Linked DNA regions of Sus scrofa. The protein of the gene in region 4 purifies or fractionates together with the protein of the main gene of each other region. This does not show direct contact. Links are inferred from orthologs where the notes say so. Each region holds a gene or a part of one and is shown on either strand. Other genes may lie near its edges. The genes, in order: HLTF, RFC2, ZUFSP, RPA1, RFC1, TOP3A and POLA1.

The links.
Region 1: the proteins of RPA1 (region 4) and HLTF purify together in Homo sapiens (affinity purification with mass spectrometry, with the first as the bait; 4 studies listed by BioGRID). This does not show direct contact. The link is inferred for Sus scrofa from reciprocal best matches to the Homo sapiens genes RPA1 and HLTF.
Region 2: the proteins of RPA1 (region 4) and RFC2 purify together in Homo sapiens (affinity purification with mass spectrometry, with the first as the bait; 3 studies listed by BioGRID). This does not show direct contact. The link is inferred for Sus scrofa from reciprocal best matches to the Homo sapiens genes RPA1 and RFC2.
Region 3: the proteins of RPA1 (region 4) and ZUFSP purify together in Homo sapiens (affinity purification with western blotting; 4 studies listed by BioGRID, with this or other methods). This does not show direct contact. The link is inferred for Sus scrofa from reciprocal best matches to the Homo sapiens genes RPA1 and ZUP1.
Region 5: the proteins of RPA1 (region 4) and RFC1 purify together in Homo sapiens (affinity purification with mass spectrometry; 3 studies listed by BioGRID, with this or other methods). This does not show direct contact. The link is inferred for Sus scrofa from reciprocal best matches to the Homo sapiens genes RPA1 and RFC1.
Region 6: the proteins of RPA1 (region 4) and TOP3A purify together in Homo sapiens (affinity purification with mass spectrometry; 4 studies listed by BioGRID and IntAct, with this or other methods). This does not show direct contact. The link is inferred for Sus scrofa from reciprocal best matches to the Homo sapiens genes RPA1 and TOP3A.
Region 7: the proteins of RPA1 (region 4) and POLA1 purify together in Homo sapiens (affinity purification with mass spectrometry; 3 studies listed by BioGRID and IntAct, with this or other methods). This does not show direct contact. The link is inferred for Sus scrofa from reciprocal best matches to the Homo sapiens genes RPA1 and POLA1.

What each region holds. Positions count from the first base shown.
Region 1 is NC_010455.5:89,330,215-89,334,429, forward strand, and holds the start of HLTF (helicase-like transcription factor), read right to left. Parts: upstream 2,801-4,215; 5' UTR 2,590-2,800; coding exon 2,570-2,589; intron 1,413-2,569; coding exon 1,205-1,412; intron 1-1,204. UniProt on the Homo sapiens protein: Has both helicase and E3 ubiquitin ligase activities. Possesses intrinsic ATP-dependent nucleosome-remodeling activity; This activity may be required for transcriptional activation or repression of specific target promoters.
Region 2 is NC_010445.4:11,375,691-11,379,190, forward strand, and holds part of RFC2 (replication factor C subunit 2), read right to left. Parts: intron 2,347-3,500; coding exon 2,189-2,346; intron 1,977-2,188; coding exon 1,911-1,976; intron 920-1,910; coding exon 839-919; intron 1-838.
Region 3 is NC_010443.5:44,956,942-44,959,379, reverse strand, and holds part of ZUFSP (zinc finger with UFM1-specific peptidase domain protein), read right to left. Parts: intron 1,399-2,438; coding exon 1,247-1,398; intron 1-1,246. UniProt on the Homo sapiens protein: Deubiquitinase with endodeubiquitinase activity that specifically interacts with and cleaves 'Lys-63'-linked long polyubiquitin chains. Shows only weak activity against 'Lys-11' and 'Lys-48'-linked chains.
Region 4 is NC_010454.4:48,016,152-48,019,651, reverse strand, and holds part of RPA1 (replication protein A 70 kDa DNA-binding subunit), read right to left. Parts: intron 3,173-3,500; coding exon 3,094-3,172; intron 2,446-3,093; coding exon 2,337-2,445; intron 1-2,336. UniProt on the Homo sapiens protein: As part of the heterotrimeric replication protein A complex (RPA/RP-A), binds and stabilizes single-stranded DNA intermediates that form during DNA replication or upon DNA stress.
Region 5 is NC_010450.4:30,562,933-30,566,432, forward strand, and holds part of RFC1 (replication factor C subunit 1), read right to left. Parts: intron 3,454-3,500; coding exon 3,355-3,453; intron 1,783-3,354; coding exon 1,628-1,782; intron 1,503-1,627; coding exon 1,385-1,502; intron 1-1,384. UniProt on the Homo sapiens protein: Subunit of the replication factor C (RFC) complex which acts during elongation of primed DNA templates by DNA polymerases delta and epsilon, and is necessary for ATP-dependent loading of proliferating cell nuclear antigen (PCNA) onto primed DNA.
Region 6 is NC_010454.4:60,454,183-60,457,682, reverse strand, and holds part of TOP3A (DNA topoisomerase 3-alpha), read right to left. Parts: intron 3,403-3,500; coding exon 3,259-3,402; intron 3,172-3,258; coding exon 3,001-3,171; intron 2,829-3,000; coding exon 2,728-2,828; intron 708-2,727; coding exon 633-707; intron 1-632. UniProt on the Homo sapiens protein: Releases the supercoiling and torsional tension of DNA introduced during the DNA replication and transcription by transiently cleaving and rejoining one strand of the DNA duplex.
Region 7 is NC_010461.5:20,759,674-20,763,173, reverse strand, and holds part of POLA1 (DNA polymerase alpha catalytic subunit), read right to left. Parts: intron 1,032-3,500; coding exon 907-1,031; intron 1-906. UniProt on the Homo sapiens protein: Catalytic subunit of the DNA polymerase alpha complex (also known as the alpha DNA polymerase-primase complex) which plays an essential role in the initiation of DNA synthesis.

The DNA.
Region 1 (4,215 bases), on a different chromosome or scaffold from region 4:
AAAATTAATTATAAAAAGGCATTTGTAAACAATCAAGATAAGTTATTATGGATTAGTTATTAGGTGTAATAGAAACTAGTATTATTTTGTTAAATATAACAATGAGAAAGAAAATTTCTAAATTTTTTAGGTACACACTTAAATGTTGTAAAGTGATGCAGCTGGAATTTTTAGTACCAAAGAAAAAGAAAGTGATGAGCAAATGTGCAAAAAACTTGTCTAACTGCTGAATATGGATCATAAGTATATGAAAATTCATTGTATCATTCTAATTCTATGCATGTTTGAAATTTTTCATAATTAAAAAAAAAAAGTAGGAGTTCTCGTTGTGGTGCACTGGAAATGAATCTGACTAGGAACCATGAGGTTGCGGGTTCAGTCCCTAGCCTCATTCAGTGGGTTAAGGATCTGGCGCTGCTGTGAACTGTGGCATAGGTCGCAGACGTGGCTCCGATCTGGGCTTTGCTGTGGCTGTGTAGTAGGCCAGCAGCTACAACTCTCATTCGACCCCTAGCCTGGAACCACCATATGCTGCAGGTGCCCTAAAAGACGAATAAATAAATAAATAAATAAATAAAAATAAAAGTAGATATATCATCCAAATAACACAGAGCATACTAGACAACCATAACAAAGACAACTGCTTTCTCTTTGTCTCTGTTTTCTCTCTCTCACATACACAGAGCAGAAAACAGAGATACAGAAACATAAACGCAGGAAGAAAAATTGGAAATAGTTTTACTATAGAAAGGAAAAAAAGACCTAAAAGTAGACAATTCTCTTGTCTAGTACTTCCTACATTAAAAATACTAAAATGTAAAAATGTGCTGAAGGATAGGAAAGGAGAAAGCAAGAGACTTGGAAGTTATTTTGCAAATTTACCACATAGTATCTGTACTTTCTATGCAAATCATTTAACCATCCTGAGCTACCTTTACTCAGTTCTAGAAAGGGATAATAGATGTCCTACTACCTCAGAGACACTCTAGTGATCAAATGAGACCATACAGGAAACAGTGCTTTGTATATTGTGACCATGATATAAATGTAAAAGAATGTAAGTAATTAGGTATTTGTTATCTCTTCCCTAGATATATTTCAATTACTTAAATTAAGATATTTACTGCACATATCACCTTCTCACTCTTATTTTCTACATTAATAGATGACATCATATAAACTTAGTATCTAATATTATACTCACTACTCCTGTGTAATAGCGTAGTCCAACTACATGACCTCTCAAAGTACCAAATAAAACTGAATCTAGCTCTTCATCACTCGTTAGGAAGTCATCTGGAGGAATAATATCTTGGAATTCAAAACGTGGAAAGAAAGTTGGATATGAGAGGCGTGGAAAATTTCCATGGACTCCATACTGGACAGTTTGCAAGTACTTCCAAACAGGATCTCTTAAAACAAAACAAAACAAAAACAAAAAACAGGAAAACAATACAATATTTAACCAAATATTTCTCAAAGACTATACCACACTTAAAGGCCAATTGTTTTCTCACACTTCATTTCAAAAAATTAAATCTCATGTGGGAAGGGCTATATGAAGATTAATATATATAGTTCCTCTGGTTAAAGCAGGGATTAAAGTGAGTACAGGTTTCTAGAAACCCTACCTACCTGTTCAATAATGTCTCTTCTGCCCACAGGTACTCAAAGTGAAAACCCCAATAAGGGTTCACAAACCTCTTTCCTAGTGATGATCACCTATTTAAAGTAAAATGTGTGTGATGTCTGCAAATAATTATATGCCAAAATTTCAATAGAGAATGAGCTGGAAGAGACTTGCAAATAAAGGACTATCTATACATGAAGCCATTTATAACTTTACAAGTAATACATCCAACATCCATTACGTGAATTCTCCTCGAAGAGACCCCGCATTTTATTCAGGTATCCAAACCATGTCACAATGGGAAGCTGACATCAAGCCTCCCCTCCCTTGGTTTAAGGGTAACCTCAATTCCCCCATAGATAATTGGAGAGCTGTTTCTGGAACGGGTATGTAACCCAATTTGGACAATGAAGAGAGGAAGCCGGAGAGGGGGCTTTCAGGAAGCTTCTATTATCCTAAGAACGGACTGACGCTATTTCCCCAGCGCTTGGCTTGCACGTCGCGCATACTGCTTCTGGCTCCCCTGCAGATAGATATTTGCACGTCTGTGCACGCACATCAACGGTGAGCTCCTTGAGGATACGGGCTGTCTTATCCGGCCCTTTCTGCCGAGCACAATGCCGAGGGCACAGTGGGTATCTGATGAGTGTCTTGCAGGTCACAATCCCGGCCTAAGAGTGTGGCTTTGAGCCAGGCCCCCTTACAGCCCTTGACAGAAATTTCCCCAAGCCCTGGCATGAGATTCGCCTGAGGAGCCTCCCCTCGCCAGTCAAAACTGTGCATTTCTTTCTCCCGCAGCTATTAAAAGCCGCCAGCAGGACGAACACTGGCTGCACAGCTCGCACGGGTAACGCGAAGGAAACGCGGGGAAGGTCAGGTTCATCTAGGGACGCCGCCAGGCCGTTACCCCCGGTGCCCAACCCCCTCCGCCCCCTTCACCTCTTAAACATCCAGGACATGGCGCTGGGTGGGTGACGAGGGGAACGCTTGGGCGCCCGGGATCGTTCTCGAGCGGCCTCGATAAGTCTCCTTCCAGGGCCCGCGGCCGAGAAGCCGGGGACAGGTTTCTAGAGCCGCGAGCAAGAGCGCACTCCAGAAAGGTGAGACGCCGGGAGCCTAGTCAGACGTCGACGCCGACCCCTTCCAGCAACAATCTGAGAGACAAGTGACGCTTTGTGACTGGCACCGCCTACCTCCAATCCCGAGGAGGAGTTTACGCAGACGAACCAATCAGGGCACGGAGGGGTGGGCAGCTCCGCCCCGCGCAGCGATTCAAAGACTTGGGGGGCTGTCCCCGCTGCAGGGGCGGTTCCATCCGGGTTCTCCCTCAACCCCAAGCTAGTCGCGCGGGAAAGCCACGCGGCCCCAGCAGGCGGACTACGGTGCTTACGGTGTTCGCGTTTCTGATTGATTCCCCGCCTCAAGCAGAGGGCGACCACTGTCTTTTGCACTGTTTCCCTCAAGCCCTAAGCCTCAGCCCCATTCTTCAGGCTCTACCTCAGCCTACCTCGAATTTTCTCTTCATCTGATGTGACATATAGTAGGGTATTCCACTGAATAAGCTCCCGGCTTTAAGAGCCCTGGAGCTACCAACGAGATCCTGTCCTTCATCTTCTGTGGTGAACCCGTGTAGTTGCCCTTAAAATGTGCATTTTAAACCCCGCTAGCTAACCAATGAGACAGACCGGCCTCAGAGAGCATAATTGCAGTTTCGATTTATGGAGTCCCTACCCCCCACCTCTTTTTTAAGAGAAATTTTTCATTCTACTAGAGGAAAGCCATAAAATGAGATGACAGCACAAGAGCTTTATTGGTGACTGCTGGAAGTGGCCAAGTTTCCCCTGGGGGTAAGCTGCTGTCCCTGCGGGGCAGGAAGAAGTTGGTTTTCCGTGGGGAACTGTAGGGGGCACTCCCAAGGGCTCTGTCGCCCTCTTTTGAGAGTCTGAGGAGACTCAGGAGAATTCGGCTTTGAGTGGGTGGGCGAGTGGGCCGGCTGCAGCGCAGGCGCTGTCAGGGCTGGTTCTCTGTCCCCTGGGAGCCTTTTAACTTGTGCAGCAGCAGCCCTAGGGTAACAAGCTGGTGGTGGCCCTGACCTGTGCTTTGGACTTGATATAACTGTAACACAACTGCTTGTGGACCAAAGAGGAAATGTATTTGAGAAAGGGGTTAGTGTTGACCCGTGCCCTTCGAAGAGTGGTCCATTTTACACGTCCATCAGCAGGGTATGACAGGCAGTCAATGAAACAGTTTTTCAAGAGGCATTTGTTGATTAACTTAAACTATCACAATCTGTAAATATGAACCTACAGTAGAATGAGAAAAGAAACTTGCAGCAACTTATTCATTTCACTAAATAGAAGGAAGATGAAGAGAATGGCATTTCAAATTATTTTAGTTATTTTACTTTCTTCTGGAAGTAGTATGAGGCAAAAGGCAATATTGTTCAGTTTTTGATGTGCCAGATCTAAATAACCGATCTATTGGAAAATACGGCAGTAAATGCCTAAATTGAAAATGATTTATGTGTAAAGTTAATAAATTATGTTCGTCAGACTGAAAGATAAAATTGCAAATGTACCAATATA
Region 2 (3,500 bases), on a different chromosome or scaffold from region 4:
TGCCTTCTCAACCCCAGCCCAGCTCCAACCCTCAGCCGCCCAACTCCGATAGCAGACTCTGGGGGGCGGGGGTTGCTTGTGCCTTTGCTTGGCTTCCTTCAGGCCGAGTACCCTGTCCCCGGTTTCATGTGAGGTCTGGCCCTGTCCTAAACCCAGTCAACTCCTAGCTTAGTTTGGTGGCGGGAGGGGGAGGGCATGGGCTGTGATCAGACCAACAGCCCCAGATCACAGCACTGCCGCCCACGGGGACTGGAGCATCACCTGAACCCCAAAAATGCCCACTGGAATCGGCTCACCAGACCAGGCTCTGGGGCCAGAGCGCCCATTCCCAGGCTCTTCAGGAAGAGAGAGGGCTCTATTAATCTTTTTTTAAGCTGTGCCTGCTGCGTGCAGATGTTCCCCAGGCCAGGGATGCAAGTATATTAAGTTTAAGCAGTGGGATTTAGAGCATGGGGTCTGGCCTCTGAGTCTGTTTTCTGACCTGCAGAGCGTGCCCAGCGCCCAGCCTCATTTAGGAATGCAGTGGAGGAGTTCCCGTCATGACTCGGTGGAAACGAATCTGACTAGTATCCATGAGGATGCAGGTTCAACCCCTGGCCTCATTCAGTGGGTTAAGGATCTGGCGTGAGCTGTGGTGTAGGTCACAGATACGGCTTGGATCCTCTGTTGCTGTGGTGTAGACTGGCAGCTACAGCTCCGATTCGACCGCTGGCCTGGGAGCCTCCATATGCCTCAAGTGCAGCCCTAAAAAGACAAAAACAAAAAGCAATGCAGTGGAGCTAGGTCCCCAGCACAGGGAGCACCCCCGCTGCCCTGCTCAGGGAGGAGGGGGACCGACCTTGTAGGCCTCATCGATGTTGGCGCTCACGCAGTGCTGGATCATCTCCTTCACCAGCAAGGGGTGGGGCTCGTCGCAGACCTGGCCAGACGGAACAGAAAGGCTGGTCAGGGGCTGCGGGGGACCATCTGAGGGCGAGCCCTGGCAGACCCACGTCTGGGCAACCTATGTGGCCAACTGCACTGGCTGTTTGCCTTGAGTTCTCCGGCCAAGAGAACTGGTTTTGGGAACACCTCTCTCAACACCAAGTTGTCACCAAAGAGAGTTCGGTGGAGACCTGCTGCAGAGAGGACAAGCCTCCGAGAGCATCATTACAGATTTCTCAAGTGCAAAATGGAGTAAGAGCCAGCGAGGAGTCTACACCACAGGGGCAGCTTTTTTTTTTTTTTTTTTTTTTTTTTTTTTGTCTTTTTGCTATTTCTTGGGCCGCTCCCGCGGCATATGGAGATTCCCAGGCTAGGGGTCCAATCGGAGCTGTAGCCACCCGCCTACACCAGAGCCACAGCAACGCGGGATCTGAGCCGCGTCTGCAACCTACACCACAGCTCACAGCAACGCCAGATCGTTAACCTACTGGGCAAGGGCAGGGACCGAACCCGCAACCTCATGGTTCCTAGTCTGGATTCGTTAACCACTGTGCCATGACGGGAACTCCAGGGGCAGCTTTAAAGTCGTGAGTTGCTTAGAGCACTGGGAGTATCACTCACCCAGTGGGTTCTGAGACTCCACTTAAGAACTGGGAGGTTTGGGGGGCAATCTCCCTCCTGGAATAGAAACTAGCTTTGTCCTGGGTGGGCCCCAGCCTTAGTGTGATCTCGAGGCCAGTTTCCTCTGCTGCAAAATGTTAAGAACACCTGCGTGGAGGGAGGTCATGAGGACCCAAGAGGACAGAGGGCACCGGGCCTGCTGCAGGGGCGGGGGCACATCCCTCGGCTAAGTCCCTCCCACTCCCCGGGGGGCGGGGCAGAGTAGCTCCCTGAGCCCCTCCCTGGGGCGGGCCCCGCAGCCCACCTGGCTCCGCCCCCCAGGCCGACACTGGCCCTGTGGACAGTGAGGCCCGCACAGCCTTTACCTTGAACACATTCTCACTGTTGATGAAGCCAAATCCCGAGAAAGTAGACTGCAAGTTGTTCAAGGCCTGCCAAGGAACAGAAGCACGCAAGGGTGACCTTCGACCTCTGTCCTCCCCGTCTCCCTTTCTGGGGTTCAGGCCGGGCTCCCTACCAACGTGTTGGGTCTGTGGTCCCGTCTGGCTACACTCCTCTCCGTGCAGCAGTCACTACCCTCTCCCCCATCTAAACCAGGGGAGTGGCCAGCCTGAGGGCGCCGAGCCGGGGTGGGGGCACGAACCTGCCTCATGTCGCCCTGGGCGGTGAAGATGATGGCTTCCAAGCCGTCATCCGTGTACGGCACCTTCTCCTTCTCGATGACGTTCAGCAGCCTGGCAAGAATCTGGGCGTCGGTCAGCTTGGTGTAGCGGAGGACGGCACACCGGGACTGGATGGGCTCTGGATAAGATGGGGGAGAGTCAGGCTTCCCGGGCCAAGGCTGGCGTAACCCTGTTGGTCCTTTAGTTACTGGGGAGCAGGTGCACGAACCATGCGGCCCAGCCATGCTGGCACCACTCCCCCAACCTGGCAGAGACTTAAGCGTGACCTGGTCATCAGGGCTAAATTTCTTTTTTTTTTTTTTGTCTTTTGTCTTGTTGTTGTTGTTGCTATTTCTTGGGCCGCTCCCGCGGCATATGGAGGTTCCCGGGCTAGGGGTTGAATCGGAGCTGTAGCCACCGGCCTACGCCAGAGCCACAGCAACTCGGGATCCGAGCCGCGTTTGCAACCTACACCACAGCTCAGGGCAACGCCGGATCGTTAACCCGCTGAGCAAGGGCAGGGACTGAACCCGCAACCTCATGGTTCCTAGTCGGATTCGTTAACCACTGCGCCATGACGGGAACTCTAGGGCTAAATTTCAAAATACCAACCAATAGAGGCCTCAGCCAGCACTGCCCAGGCTGACCCTGGCTGGCAATGGCTTCCCAAAGGAGAAAAGATCCGCCAGATAGAGAGAGCCACATGCCACAGCCCACAGGAGGGTCAGTGCCGGCCCGGCCAGACCTCAGAATCACTGCATGTGTGTACAGCTGGCCCTTCTGGGCAGGTCACAACCCAGCCGGCCTAGAACAGGGCACCTTCAGGGCTTAAGGTCCCACGGGAGGCTCTGATACCCCTGAGAACTACAGACAGACGAATGCAGAATTCTGGAAGCTGTCTCTGACCTTCGGTTCAGACCGACAAGTGTCTTCAAGTCCTGGGGGAGGAGGGGGGTCCCCCCGAGACCCTGTTCTGCCCCGCTGGCCTTCCTCAGGATGTTTTGTCGCCTCTGCCCGCCCAGAGGTATCACCTTCAACCGCCTCCGACATCACAGTACAGTCCACCTCTGATCCTCCTTCACAAAATTTCCCTGGAACCTCACCCACCTCCACTCTCCTAACCCTGCCAGGGCCTCCCGAACACCTGACCTGCACTCTCCTGGCGGATCTCCCCAAGCTTCTTCCCGTTTAAGTAACTCCGCACTGAAGTGACCGCCCCTTCTCTGCGCGCACACACTTTCAAGGGACATGTTCCTGTGAGTTTATGTGCCTTGAAGAAACCTGCAGTCACCT
Region 3 (2,438 bases), on a different chromosome or scaffold from region 4:
CACACACACACACACATATAGACATACTATAAACTTTCCGTATATAGTGTGTGTGCAAATGTGTATTTAGAATATAAATATAGTCAGTCCCTCTGACATATAGGTTATCTGAGCTTTTCCAGTTCTAAGACACAAGAGTTTAGTTCCACTTTCTAACCTTCAGTTTTCCCTTGTCCAATTTTAGTTTTCTAAAGGCTTCATAGCAAAAAAAATTCTACTTCTACTATGCCATATATTTTAGTTTTGCTCTTCAAATCCCTTAGTCCTTCTAATTCAAATGATCTCAAATGAAAGGATTTGAAATTTACCTACTGGACAACAAAAGGTAAACAAGAGTAAATTTATATATACTAGAATTTCAATGGCAAGGGCTTAACCTTTATAGCTTGTATTCCAAAACAATGAAATTCCTAACATTTACTTCTTATTCCTGTCAATCCAAATAATTCATTCAACAAGATATATCAAATATCCATATGCCAGGCCCTACTCCAGGCCATTAGTAGTATAGATGTAAACCAAACAAATACTTCTGCCTTCATAGAGCTTATATTCTAATAAGAAGAAACACTCTAGGAGTTCTGTTGTGGCTCTGCAGGTGACAAACCCTACTAGTATCCATGAGGATGCAGGTTCGATGCCTGGCCCGCTCAGTGGGTTAAGGATCTCGTTTGCCATGAGCTGTGGTATAGGTCACAGACAAGGCTCGGATCCTGTGTTGCTATGGCTGTGGTGTAGGCTGGCAGCTGCAACTCTGATTCAACCCCAGCCTGGGAACTTCCATATACCACAGATGCGGCCCTAAAAAACAAAAAAACAAACAAAGAAGAAATATTTTATAAACAGGGTAAGTGAGGCTTATACTTATAATGTTAGATGAAGAAAAATAAAGTAAAGAAGAGGGATAGGACATGCCAGTGCTACAGGGTGAAAGGATAATGAGAAGAAATTTTTACAAAGGCGGTTAGGGAAGACCTCATTGAAGTAAGGTAAAGACCTGAAAAAGGTAAGGGATGAACAATAAAAGAAGAGTGAACCAAGTGGACCAGGGGGCCCCGAAGACGCCAAGGATACCATCCATTACTGGAATGTACTGTAATGACAATATAACTAAAAATCAAAGTGATGTCATAATACTCCTCTCCTCTCATTAGAATCCTAACCTATTCTGAGGCTTAAGCCAATTAATTGTCTTATAAAGATACTGTCTTGTAAGTTACACTTAATATCTGTAAGTTATACTAACCTTGATGCTGAAGATAAATAGGAGGTTTAGATGTACACACTACTTTTGGACTCCCCTCCCTCTCTGAAGAATAATAGTTCAATATCCATTCAAATAAGCGAGGGTGTGTACCCAAAGGACCAGTCGACTTGTGAAAGTCAATAATACGACACCTATAAAAAATTGACAAAAGGGGTTACTTAGAAAATATTAAAAAAAAAAAACATTTTCATCAGTGGAGTCACACAACAAATCCCTAATTTAGGATTAATTTTATCTCAGTATTATTTTTGTAAGAAGAAAGAAAATAAAAATTCTTTTATCTGAAAAACTTATTTCATGAGAAAATAGTTTAAATAAATTAATAAGGTTGATGACTGACACAAGTTATAAAAATTTCCTGACATATAAAATCTATATTAGTAGTAGGAGTTCCCATCGTGGCACAATGGTTAACGAATCCGACTAGGAACAATGAGGTTGTGGGTTCGATCCCTGGCCTTGCTCAGTGAGTTAAGGATCTGGTGTTGCCAGGAGCTGTGGTGTAGGTTGCAGATGCGGCTCGGATCCTGAATTGCTGTGGCTGTGGCATAGGCCAGCGGCTACAGCTCCAATTAGACTCCTAGCCTGGAAACCTCCATATGCCCCAGGTGCAGCCCTAGAAAAGGCAAAAAGCAAAAAAAAAAAGAAAATCTATGTTAGTAGTAAATGAGATCATACTTGATTTTCAAAAGTGTACATATAATCTTTAATTTTATTCTAAAGTCTCTAAACCAGATGATCAATTAGAAACTGAATTCTAATTATAATTCCTCGATAATCATTTGAAGCTATCAAAAATATCCTAAATATTTTTCCTGCCAGCTCTCTAAAATTTCTTATCTAATAATAGACAAGAAAAGACTACCCATAAAGACCATAGAAAAAAATCTTTATGTACCTGCATCTATACATCTATCTTCTATTTGGCAATAGACCATGATGGTATTGTTTTCTCAAAAGGAAGTCAACTGTGAATAAACCAAATTATTTTAACCAGAAGCACTATTTACACTTTTCAGCAACAATTTTGAAAAGGTTTAGTATAAGGTAAAGCAATTAAAAGCTTTATTCTTCACTTTACAATACAGCACACATATCTTATCCTTGTCCCTCCTGGTCAGAAAGTCTCCAAATACACCCAAACTATAATGGTTACTATCTTTAGCCTCAG
Region 4 (3,500 bases):
CATTAAAGATCCAAGGATGATGGCTAAAGCCCTATTTGGAAGAAACCTGGTTGTTCACAGGCAGGTTCTCAGCAGGGGTAGGAAGGAACACAGCACATCAGCGTGCAGAGGTGGTGGAAGAAGGCAAAGCCTACGAGAGGGGAATTCCACCCATGACTAGAGAGAAAGGGGCCCGAGTTTCTGCACTCAACTCCAGCAAAGCTTTCCTCTCCCATAACCATGCCCTAGAGGACAGAAAAGAGGATAGAAAGCACCACTTGAGCTCTCCAAGGCATCCTGGAGTGGAAGATAACAGGTCCCAAGTGGGGAGGTTGGCAAGGAGACATACCCAGCCTAGACGATGTCAGAGCAAATATGAAGTCTAGCTGGAACTGCCCACATTAAACAAGAACACGATAAAAAGAAATGACGCAGCAACAATGCCAGCACACCACAGTGTATAAAAATAAAAGGCAGAGACAATTAAGAATCCAATCTAGAAGAAAGCATTAGCCAAGAAAGGGAATACGTCCCAATCACAGCTTGCCAAATAAGACTAAGAATTCAATAAAAGTCAAAAGATGAAATGAAATGAGATTGAGAAGAAAAGGGAGCTTGAGACATTAAGGAAAAAAGAGAAGAAAAGCAGTATCATTACACATCTAATCCTTAAACTATAAAAACCCAAGGAACAGGGAGTTCCCGTCGTGGCGCAGTGGTTAACGAATCCGACTAGGAACCATGAGGTTGCGGGTTCAGTCCCTGCCCTTGCTCAGTGGGTTAAGGATCCGGCGTCGCAGTGAGCTGTGGTGTAGGTTGCAGACGCGGCTCAGATCCCGCGTTGCTGTGGCTCTGGCGTAGGCTGGTGGCTACAGCTCCGATTCAACCCCTAGCCTGGGAACCTCCATATGCCGAGGGAGCGGCCCAAGAAATAGCAGCAACAACAACAACAAAAAAAGACAAAAAGACAAAATAAATAAATAAATAAATAAAAACCCAAGGAACAGAACAGAGGAAGCTAAAAACCGAACAATACAATATGTTGGACAATCTTAAATTAATCCAGCGCATACACTAGAAAAGAGAGCAAACCGAAGACATCTATGAAGAGCAAAGGTATCCACCACATAAGCAGAAACTGGAACTCACGTGAAAGAAAATGAACTGAAAAGGAAGGCCGGTGATCAAAGAGGCAAAAGTGAGCGAATAAACAATGAGTAAATCTAAATGAGCACAGACTATATAAGAGAAGGTGCTAATTGGGGGGAGTAAAAACAAAACTGAAGGAAAATACTGAGCACAGACCCTGTTAAGGCCTTTGCTTTATTTGGGAGGATGGTAAAAATACTATTTTTGTAATTTTGTTAATTCCAATATGGATTTTTTTTTTTTAAATGTTGAGAGTAATCACAAAGAAAACACATAGAACATGCAACTTTTAAAAGAGTAGAGGAAAAAAGAATTAAGGCAATGCAATCAATCAAAGGAGGAAAAGACAATGAAAGTATAGCGAGACTATGGCAAGACCAAAAAATTGGGGCGGGGGGTGGGGTGGGGGAGATCCGTAATAAATAAAGCAGAATAAACTCACCCACTAAATCTCAGATGGAGTTCTAAAACTCAACGCTGTTTATAAAAAACATCCAAGATGAACAACAGCGAGGTTAAAAGTTTCAAAAGAACAATGATACATCAAACAAATACAAGCAGAAAAAGTGAATGTACATCTAACGTAACATACATCGATACCCTCATGAAGATGGGCGTGCTGGCCGCACTGGCTGCTCACCTGTTTGGGTTGTGTTTCATAACTCAATCAAAAGCTCGAGGGGAAAAAGTGAAAAGTAAAGCCTCTCCCCAACAAAGAATGTCATATTTCAGCAGTGGCTGCTCAGGTGTGATTAACAGTTCTCGTCACCCCTGTATCTCTAACATGTAGCCTCTTGTAGGTACTCAGCATACTCTCTACTGGCCGAAGAAAGCCTTTGCTATGAAAGATTCAGGACTGCAAAAAAGGGGCAGTGTTACATCATTATCTCTTTTTGCTCTAATAAGTGACCTCTTTTTATCAAAAGGTACTTTAAGAGAGAATCTAAAACCAGTGCTGCTGAAGAGACTAGAAATAAGAGTTCCGCATTCGGCTTTAGTTTTCTGCCCAGGTTGGTTCCATTTCTTTCCTCTTGAGGCGTGCCTGGTTGTTGGTAGCCTGAGTTCCTAATTCAATAGCTAAAAATTCTTAGCTAAAGCCCACCACTGCCTTTTTGATTCCTAATCGAATTTGGGCATTGAATGAACCTCTCTGTTCACAAATTGGTCCCCATTTTAACAACGCGGCAGGAAAAAAACCTACCACATACCTTCCATCTTTCAAGGTGTTCACAATAAATCGGTTAATCTGGCAAATACAGTTGCTAGACAATCGTTCTTCCTCAACAAGAGGATTCAGCTGTGTCGCCAACATGAAAGCTGCAAAGCACAGAGATTACTTTAGTCGCGAAAACATTTCCGTTGTGACAAAAGCTGGTGACACCTGTACCAGCAAAGAAAAACAATGCCTGAAACATGTTCCTGAAATTAAACCCCCAGATTCTGCACATGAAAAAGGGCATCCATTTCCTGCGCATTAAACATCTGCTACTACTCTGAAATTCAGTTATTTCCTAAAGTGCCCCAAATCACCTTTTCCAGCATTCAGGTTGCATGACGAAGCCTCATCTTTTTTCTAGGTTCTTCACCTTGTGACTAGAGAGAGCAAGCATATATTCTGCAAATTTTCTTTCTCCCTGTAAAGCTTCCAACATACAAATAAAACCCCAGAAAGACAAGTATAGGACAGCTAACCCATCATATTCACTAAATGTCAATATCGTCCTGAGGGAAATTAATCAAAGAAAACACAGAGCACCAGTTAGAGAAAATTAATTAAGCCAAGTGGCAGCTTTCCACTGGACCCAGTCTATTGCTCGAACGCTCTCTGCCAGCCGCAATTCTGCCTGTGTGAAGGCAGAGCCAAGCAAGTGCAGACTTCTGGAATGCTCTAATTACGGCAATCTAAGTGTTGGGTGTGCTTATATTATTTACATACAAATTCCCAGATTTACGCATTATACGTACAGGACAGCGTATTCAATCCATCACTCATAAGCAGTCGATAACGGGGTGGATTGTTCCCTGTGGTAATGGGACGGATGTTCTAGGAGAGAAAACACGCATTAGCCAGGCTGCCTGCCCAGTCCCCAGGGACGAGTAAACCTAAGCGGCAGGAGAGTGGGTTTGCCATTAGCGCAACAAAAACTGAACTGCTTGCCCATTCTCTTGACACCTAAATCCAAGGGAAAGAAAATTGGACGTGATGATTCTCCCACCAACCTCTTCTCCAAGAACACTGTTAAACGCAGCAGAGACGAGAATAAGTTGCCAATATTGTTGTATTCTCTCTCCCCTGACACAAATCTGACTGAAAATCAATTTTTAAAAAACACACAAGGCACATAATGTATGCAAGGAACGTGGAGGGAACA
Region 5 (3,500 bases), on a different chromosome or scaffold from region 4:
TAGGAACCATGAGGTTGCAGGTTCGGACCCTGCCCTTGCTCAGTGGGTTAACGATCCGGCATTGCCGTGAGCTGTGGTGTAGGTTGCAGACGCGGCTCGGATCCCGAGTTGCTGTGGCTCTGGTGTAGGCCGGTGGCTACAGCTCTGAGATTGGACCCCTAGCCTGGGAACCTCCATATGCCATGGGAGCGGCCCAAGAAATGGCAAAAAGACCAAAAAAAAAAAAAAAAAAAAAAAGAATCCAACTGCAGTACCTCAGGTCACTGCAGAGGCTCAGGTTCAATCCCTAACCTAGCACCACGGTGAGTTAAAGGATCTGGCATTGCTGCAGCTATGGTGTAAGTCACAGTTGTGGCTCAGATTCAAACCCTGGCCTAGAAACTTCCATATGCTGCGGGTATGTGCACTTTAAAAAATAAAAGAAGAATTAATGCTTTAGAGAGTATTTTCACACATTAAGCTTATCCTGTGTTTAACATTATTCCTTTAGGACAAATTCTAATGGGTATAATTACTGGGTATGAAATAAAAATGAACACTTTTAATACATAAAAGATTCTTTAAAAGAAAAGCAAAACTTCCAGAAGTCCCTCACTTGTTAATCAGGTCAATAATACTCTATCAATATGCAAAACTCAAGAACAAATAACACTCCTAATTTCAAAACTCTTTATTGTTTAAAAGGTATCAACCTAAATAAAAGGTCTGATATAAAGCTGCCTCTTTAGCACAGAAGAAGACAGAAAATCAGAATTTATGTATCAGAAAAGCAGCTCCTGACCTGATTTCCTCAAGGATGAGCTACTTGGTAACAATTTGGGAAAGCCAGGAATGACAAAAAAAGAAATGGATACTTAAGGCAAAACAGGGCAAATGAAACTTTTGACTCACCATCTTAGTTATGACTAAAATCTAACATTCCCATTTCCTTATGTCCATTTACATAAAAACATTCAAAAATAAAGAATGTTAAGAAATGGGGAGTTCCCATTGTGGGTCAGCAGGTTAAGAACCCAGCACAGTGTTGGTGAGGATGCGGGTTCAATCCCTGGACTTGCTCAGCGGGATAATGATGTGGAGGTGCTGCAAGCCGTAGCATAGGTCTCAGATGCAGCTCAGATCTGGGGTTGTCTGTGACTGTAGCAGCTCTGATTCAACCCCTAGCCTGGGAATTTCCATATGCTACAGGTGCAATTGTAAAAAAAGATAAACAAAAACAAAACAAAACAAACAAAAAAGTCAACAGTGACCACAAGGTATTTTAATCTCTAACAGAATTTTTGCCTATAAGGTTTATCTGATACTTCAAATAATTACAGGAGCTAAAACCTATCTTGTTGTAACTAAAGCAGGGTCTGTGCTCTAAGGAGAGCCCTGTGCTTACCTGTGTGGGCAGAAGGCTCCAGTTTTGCTTATTGCGGATCTGACGGTCCACTAGGTCACCATCACAAATGCTGTCTGCTGCTCTGCTTAAAAGCATCAGGTGCTTTTTCATGTCACCTCTGCAGGAATAAACCAGTCTGGATTACACTACTGTCCACACTCCACACCCCTCCCTCCCAGGTATCTGGCCTTTGCAAGGTTGGGAGGGTACTAATTCTACCCCTCACTAGCTCTGAACACTCACCCTGCAGCTACAGGCTTCACGTGAATGTAGTTCTCCTGGACAAAGAGCGGTGCTATTGAATAATCATGGAAAAAGAGATCCGACTTGTCCATAAGTGACATATGAGCAGTCTCCTCTCCAGTTACAAACACCTTTCGGGCAACATCAAATGGGCCCTAAAAAGAGAGAGGGACATACTAGTAAAATGGCCAGTATCCAAACACTGACACCACCAAATGACAGCTAAGCTGTGGAGCAACCGAAACTCTCTGTCGTTGCTGGTAAGAATGCAAGATGGTATAGTCACTTTGGAAGACAAATTGATAGTTTCTTACAAAACTAAATATAATTTTACTGTACCATCTCATGACTGTGCTCCTTGGTATTTATCCAAATGAACTGAAAACATATACACACAAAAAACCTGCACCTGAATGTTTATAGCAGCTTTACTGAAAACTGCCAAAATTTGGAAGCAATCAGATGCCCTTCAATAGGTGAATGAATGGATAAACTGTGGTACATCCAGACATGGGACCATTACTCAGCACTACAAAGAAATGAGTTATAAAGCCATGAAAAGATATGGAGAAACTTTAAGTGTATATTATTATGTGAAAAAAGCCAATCAGAAGAAGCAACATACAGGATTCTAAATATGTGACATTCTTAAAAAGGTGAAACTATGGAGACAGTTAAAAAAAAAAAAAAAAAAAAAAAAACAGTGGTTTCCAGGGGCTGGCGGAAGAACAGGCAAAGCAAAGAGGATTTCTAGGGCAGTGAAAGTGTTCTATATGATACTACAACAGTGAAACATGCCATTACACATGTATATTTCAACACCTAGAGAATGTACGACCAAGAGCAAACCCTAATGTTCAACTATGGACTCTGGGTTATGGTGATGATGTGTCAGTGTGGGTTCATCAGTTGTGACAGATGTACCACTCTGATGGAGGATGTTGGTAGTGGGGAATACTATTCTACTGGCGATAGGAGATATACAGGAAATATCAACTTTGCTATGAACCTAAAACAACTCTAAAAACGTTTACTGATTTTTTAAAAAGAGGGAGGGGGGGGAACACTGTTTAATCATTGCTCTAATGGCAATGAGGAATTCTGACTGGTGACTAGGTGAAACAGAACACAGAAATAATATGGACCTTTACTCTAGCTTCAGGGAGTCATTAAACTATAAACCATTTGAAACAAGATTATTCTGAACAGCTACAAAGCACTCAAAACATGAAATCTATACATAAGGGATTCTAGAAAGGCCATTATATAACTACGAAGGCATGAGCATGATTTAAACTGTCCCTTTCTCAAAATTTACAATTACATTGACAGTCCTTAAGAAAAAAGTCACTTGAATCAAAAATACTTTTAGCAGCTGTCAAAAATCTCTTGCTGAAGTTCCCATCGTGACTCAGTGGTTAACGAATCCGACTAGGAACCATGAGGTTGTGGGTTCCCTGGCCTTGCTCAGTGGGTTGAGGATCTGGCGTTGCTGTGGCTCTGGCATAGGCTGGTGGCTACAGCTCTGATTAGACCCCTAGCCTGGGAACCTCCATATACCGTGGGTGCAGCCCTAGAAAAGACAAAAACACCCCCCACACACAAAAAAAACCTCTTGCTATAAATATCCATAGGTGTCTCAAGGAACTATGATAACTATTTTTATTAATACTGACAGGAGGAGAAGTGCTTTGGTTAAGGAACTAAGAAACGGAAATTTACTTTACCAGTTTGATATCCTTTTTGGCTCTGTGAGAATCAGCCTTAGCCTGGTCATAGGTTAGTGCCTTACTTCGTGCACACCACATACTCAGATTATGTAAAACCTAAAAGAATCACAAGTAAGACACTGTCAAAGATAGGGAAATACTGC
Region 6 (3,500 bases), about 12 Mb from region 4:
TAGGGGAGGCTCACATAGTGGCTGTTTAAGTGATATTTACGTAAATTACACAAAAACTTTTTTTTTTTTTTTTTTTTTTTTGTCTTTTTGCCATTTCTTGGACCGCTGCCGCGGCACATGGAGGTTCCCAGGCTAGGAGTCAAATCAGAGCTGTAGCTGCCAGCCTACACCAGTCACAGCAACACCAGATCCGAGCCTTGTCTGTGACCTACACCCCAGCTCATGGCAATGCCGGATCCTTAACCCACTGAGCGAGGCCAGGGATCGAACCCGAAACCCCATGGTTCCTGGTCAGATTGTTAACCCCTGAGCCACGAGGGGACCTCTAACAAAAACATTTTTAAAAGATGCCTGGGTGGGAAGAACTAGCCATTCCAATTCTGACGCTGTAAAAACAAGGATCCCGGGGAGCCACCCACCCCATCAGCAACGACCTAAGGACAGCAAGTGACGGCTGCTTTGTCTCCACGTTTCCCGAAGTCGTGAGGTAACTAAGAGGCCAGCAGCCTGGGCTTCAGCATCTCTTTTTCCCAAGCGCGTTCTCGTGTCGCACTGAGAAGTGACGCCTCCTGACACCCGGAAAGCCAGTCCCAACCACGACATCAGCCCCGGCCGCACGGCCCCGAACATACCACAGTGTCCAAAGCCTGAGGCCTCCACTTGCTCCTTGCCTTGGACCTGACCTCCACCACGGTCGCCCTGGGGTCCTGGAAAAGCCAAACACGCAGGCGCCGCTGGGACCTGCTGGAGCATCTCCCCGGCTTGCTTGCAACCGCCCCCCACATGGCCCGCAGGGGCCCTGCTCCCAGCACTGCCCGCAGCACTGCCCCAGAGGCCCTGCTCCCACCCGGGGTGACGGCCTCGAGCCCGGTGGGTGTCGGACGCCAGTGCTGCCTTCCCGGTCAAAGCAAGTTCACAAAAGCCCCAAAGCTCCTTGTCTGGAGCCAGGCGCCCCTTAAGTGTGGCTTCTCACCTACACCTGCTCACTGTCACGGCTTTGTTTTTTTAATTCATTCGTTTATTTTTTTCAGGGCCATACTTGTGGCATATGGAGGTTCCCAGGCTATGGGTCAAATCAGGGCTGGAGCTGCCAGCCTACACCACAGCCCCAGCAACGCAGGATCTGAGCCATATCTGCGACCTACACCACAGCTCAGGGCAACACCGGATTCTTAACCCACTGAGCAAGGCCAGGGATCGAACCCGAGTCCTCATGGATAGTAGTTGGGTTTGTTACCACGGAGCTACAATGGGAGCTCCTGATTTTTCGTTTTAAATCCAATAATACGGGTTAGAAACAGAAGTTACATAATACAACTGAAGAACCCTAATCTTAAGACCAACCTCAGGAGTTCCCGTCATGGCACAGTAGAAATCAATCAGACGAGGAACCATGAGGTTGTGGGTTCAATCCCTGGCCTCACTTAGTGGGTTAAGGATCCGGCGTGGCTGTGAGCTGTGGTGCAGGTCGCAGACGCGCTCAGATCCTGCGTTGCTGTGGCTGTGGGGTAGGCCAGCAGCTGTAGCTCTGACTGGACCTCTAGCCTGGGAACTTCCATGGGCTGCAGGTGCACCCCTAGAAAGCAAAAAGAAAAAAGCCCAAGCTCCTCACATTTTGGAGAGAACACACATGGGCGGGGCTCAGCTTAGGTGATGTGCTCATGGAGGGGTTTATACGTCAGAACCCTAATCTCCCCCCCACAAGCAGACTGGGGACGGAGCCCCGGCCAGGAGCTCCAGGTGTCCCCCAGCCACGCCCTCCTGCACCGCATCCCAGCAAAGGACACAAAGGGCGGGCCTGGTTACAGGACAGACAGCTCCGGCAGGGTCACCAACAGGCAGGCCGTGTGACCCTCCAGGTTACAGGGCAGAGCGGGGGAGACAGGGTGCCTCCCGAGAGGCCCCCCACGAGCTCCGGTGTGTCTGTGCTCACTCCACACTCCACCGTCTCCAGCGTCCCCACCTGTAAAATGGGTCGCCCCCCCACCCCCGACCTGGGGCAGATGAGACAGAACACACAGTGCACAGCACGGAGCAGGCGCTCAATGCCCACCCCCAGCTCCACAGTGGACCCGCCGGGGCTCCTGACGACACACCTCTGAGTGCGTCAGGACCCGCCGTGCACAGCCCTGGGTCAAACAGGCTGCAACAAGCAAAGTGACGGACCAGCACCGCAAAGCAGGCCGCCTGCGGGGAAACCAGATGCTGGCCTGTGGCCGAAGGCCTTCATCCCTCCGTGGCCGCCTCCTGCTGGGCTCTGCCAGGTCAGCCGGGGCGCCCTTCTGCGTCCCCGGCCCTTGAGCAGGCCCACCCCGCCCCCGCCCCCCGGCTCCCTCAGCCTCCTTTCCAGACACAGCCGCTGCAGGAAGCCGTCCACGTGGCCGGAGCCGACATCCGCCCAGCGGGAGAGGGAGTCTAGCCTCCCTCCAGCTCCGAGCCCGGGTCTAGAAGGGCCTGGCGGGCCCTTCCCCACCCCCGGTGGGCGTGCGCTGCTGCTCCGGGCAGGATCTTAGCCACACGTTTCCTAGTGTTTCTGGTTCTGCCTGAAGTCCCAGAGGCCTTTCTTCCCCACCTTCAGTGCTGTTTTCCTGGGGCTCTAGTCTGACTGGTGCCCAAGGGACGACCCAGGATGAAACTGAAAGCTCAGTTCAGAGAGGGACGGGTCCCCCCGCCGCCAGCGAGGGCGAGGCTGCGGACTCGGGGGGGGTGGGCCCCGAGCCCTCCTACCTCCATGCACAGCTGGTAGAGGACGAGACAAGCCGTGTGGCTGAAGAGACGGTGCCGCTTCCAGCTGAACTCCACCACGCCGTCCCTGTGGTCGTGCGTCACTGCGGGGGGACGAGGAGGTCCGGCAGGGTCAGAGCCAGTGACTGCGACCCGGGAGCCCCCCCGGGCTCTGAACGTGGAGACGAGGGGCCGAGAGGCAGCGAGACTCAAGCCGCCCTCTGAGTCAGCCCCGGGACGCCCCGGCCCCACGCCCTGCACAAAGGGCCGCCTCACCTCGGATCTTGTGGAAGACCTCGGGCACAAAGGCCTGAATGGCTTTGAACCTCTCCACCACGAAGCCCAGCGTCGGGAACTGGCAGCTGCCGTAGCTGACGAGCTGCTCTGCCAGCACCTCGGGAAAGACCTTCTGCAGCCGCAGCGTCTGGAACCTGGTGAAGGCGGCTCCTGGGAGGAGGGGTGGGCGGTGCGGTCACATCCAGCGACACGGTCCACGCCCCAGCCCGCGCCCCCCGCCAGCCCGCTGCCCCTCACCGATGCGCAGGTCCAGCTCCTGCCTCACGTCCACGGCGTCGCTCACTCGCTGGTCAGGCTCCGTGAGGTTCTCACAGGCCGCCTGGACGGCCCGGGAGGTGATCTCGGAGAAACGGGCTCGCAGCACCGGCAGGTCGGGCTTCACTGCGGAAAGAGAGGCGGCGGGTCCAAGGGCCGTCGGCTCACCACCCCCGGGCCGCACGCAACGAGGGACGGACCCGTTCGAGAAGCTGCTTCGCTTC
Region 7 (3,500 bases), on a different chromosome or scaffold from region 4:
ACCACAGCTCACAGCAACGCTGGATCCTTAACCCACTGAGTGAGGCCAGGGATCAACCCACAACCTCATGGTTCCTAGTTGGATTCGTTAACCACTGAGCCACGACGGGAACTCCCACTCTGCTTTTTTTACCTGCAGCCCATTAACAATGGGTAGAGGGAAAGAGCCAAAAGGTCATCACATTCTATCCTACACGCAGTACACAGCAGAGGGAAGGTCCAGTCCTCCCACGCTCCCCACGCATAAGAGATGAGGAAGAATAATTCTCTCTAAGAAGAAGCAGAGCTCAGCTAGACTGTTCAATACCTTGTGAGTAAAGTAAAGGCATCTCTAAGTTCCCCCAACAAAGCTATGGAACTTAGCAGAGATGCAGTGTGCTTAAAAATGAAAAATATATAGTTACTTTAATTCCAGATTTTTTTTTTTTTGTCTTTTTAGGGCCACACCCAAGGCATGTGGAAGTTCCCAAGCTAGGGGCCAAATCAGAACTGTAACTGCCAGCCTACACCACAGCCACAGCAACTCAGGATCTGAGCCAAGTCTGCGACCTACACCACACCTCATGGCAATGCTGGATCCTTAACCCACTGAGCAAGGCGAGGGACCAAACCCGAATCCTCGTGGATACTAGCCAGGTTCCTTACCACTGAGCCACAAGAGGAACTCCAAATTTCTAAATTTTAAAAGCATCTGTAAAGTGTCTCACAGGAACTCTAAGGGTTGAGTAATCACCCATCATCTAAATCTACTTCATGCCCATATGTGCTCAGTATTTAAAAATTACTGTTATAAGAAGTCTGAAATAAATGCATATTTCTAATGAGTGACAAAGTGGACAAAGGATTAGCTACAGGCTATGAAACAGATGAACTACAAGTGAAAAAAAAAAGAAAAATGGTTACTTACTTCATATTTATACTTCTCACCAGCTTTAGCCCTTTTCAGTCTTTCTAGAGCTTCCTGTCGCCCTTTCTTGGATTTCTTCTCTCGCCGGGATCGCGAAGCTGCAAGACTCCCTGAATCTGACATAGCTGTAGAAAAGCCAAATTTGCATGAGATGTTACAAAACTGTCAGCCATCTTCCCTCAAAAACAAAGCAATAGTTTTTAGCCAATAGTAATATACAATGTTCATGTAGTATACAATGTTCATGTTACACAAATGTATACTTTTTCCGGTGTAAATAATTTACAAGCTCAGGACTGAATCTCCAGTTCCCATGGCTCCTCAGAAATTTTCAGCTGAAGCAACAACTGTTATTTTTGTCCTCCAAAAAGAGAAAAACTCCAAATTCAACTGATATTCCCTGGAGACACTAAAGAAGGGAGATCAGTAACCTTTCCACTGGTGATGATAGCCCATAAGTAGCTATAAGAGGACAATTCATTTTGTATTCCATCAATAAACATTTGAAAGGCTTTAAGGAGCACCCTCTCTTTGCAAAGTACCAGGCGCTCTGCAAGACACAAAGGCAAGTTCGGGTCCTAGACCACCACCAATAAGGTGAGTGTCGCGATAGCAATAAAGTGAGTCACACGAATTTCTTTTTCTTTTTCTTTTTTTTTTTTGGTTTCCCAGTGCATATAAATGTTATGTTTACACTATACTGGAGTCTATTATGTGTGCAAAAGCCTTATGTCATTAAAAAAAAGTATATACCTCCATTAAAAATACTTTGTTGCTAAAAAATGCTCATCATCATTTGAGCCTTCGGTGACTTGTAGTAACATGAAAGATCACTGATCACAGACCACTCTAACAAATAATGACAAATCTGAAATGTGAGAATTACCAAAATTCGATACAGACAAATGAAGTAATAAGCAAACATCAATGTGAAAATGGCGCCAGTAGACTTGCTTCATGCGGAGGCGCCACAATCTTCAATTTGTTTAAAAAAAAAAAAAAAACCACAGTATCTGTGAACTGCAATAAAGCAAAGCACCATAAAACAAGGTAAGCCAGTAAGTAGCAACTAACTCTAAAACAATTTTTAGAAGTAAAGCATACCCTAACAAGAGGTTCAGATAAAATGTCTAGAATTTCAAAGGAAGGATAAATCAGGAGAATGTAACGAAGATGGCTCTGAGGAGATTCTTGATTCTACCACTGATTTCCAGGCTTCGAGCAGTTGGCTGCGACATTAGAGCATGACAGTCAAAAATTACAAAGATCAAGAAGTTCTCTTGTGGCACAGTGGGTTTAGGATCCAGGTGTTGTCACTGCCGTGGCTTGGGTTTGATCCCTGGCCTGGGATCTTCCACATGCTATTGGCATGGCCAAAAAAAAAAAAAAAAAAAATTACAAAGATTAAAATCTTTTGTGGAAAATTAGTGAAGTACCCGAGGGCCTCAGTGGTCATTCATTCAACTTTTGAATTATTCATGCTTTTGATCATCATAAACACATACTGAAAAGATTTCATCCACAGAATGGAGACTTTCACATACCAGCTGGCGAAAAATCAAGTCAAGCAAGACAGTGCCGCCTGGCAGCCATGAGTTGATGCTCACCACGACTGGCACATAAGTCTGAAATTGAGTGTCTTATTGTACTTGGTGCTATTATTTTATAAAAAAAAAAGAGCACAGAAAAGGGGAAGTATTGATAACAGGCATCCTAAAAGCTCCAACCCCACTGGAACGTTCATAACAACATGAAGCTGTTTGACTAAGTGTTTGAATGAAATAGAAGATGCAATTTACAGACATGTACCAAATGCTGGCAATAAACTGTTGAAAACCATATCTTAAAGGTGTGGCATAATTAGAGATCCTATTTTTTTCCCTAGCTTTCTGGAAATGGAATCTCTTTGTAACATCTCAGCCTATTGTTTGACTTTCACATTTGACTTTTAAATCCATTTTCAGAAAGGCATTAAGTAAAAATTAAAGAATGCAGGTACTTAATGCTGACAGCCACAAAATCTTGGGTGTCACTCAAATGATTTCAAAAAATTATAAGCAGGCTGACACAAAAAGGCTCCAGGAGATTACTGAACAAGACCACTGAGAGGGAAAAGTTGGCCTCAGGGTATTCCCTCAAGACGCCCTGGACTCTTTTATCAGATTATTCTGACAAAATTATTCTACAGGTCTTCAAAAAGACTTACTCCACAGGCAACAATGTGCCAGTCTAAGGGTTTGGGGTACAATGACAAGTAAGACAGAGCTGCTGGTCCTCAAGGGACTCCCAGTCAAGGAAAGCATAAAGGCCTGAGGCTCCCACCATCGTATAAAGATGGTACCATGTAAGAGGTAAGAACCTGGTATTAAGGAAGCAGAAAAGAAAGCCATTAATGTTGCCTGGGAAATCAGAGAAAGCTTCACAGGGGAGGTTTCCAACACAGAATTTCACCATCAGAATACAGAGCGACAAGCGGCACAAGCAAAGGAAAAGGCATGAGGCAAAGCACAAAGGGATGAAAATGCAAGGTGTATTCAGACAGCGAGAGGAAGCCAATGCAGAAGGAAAGTTGGACAGGAGAGCGAAGAGTGAAT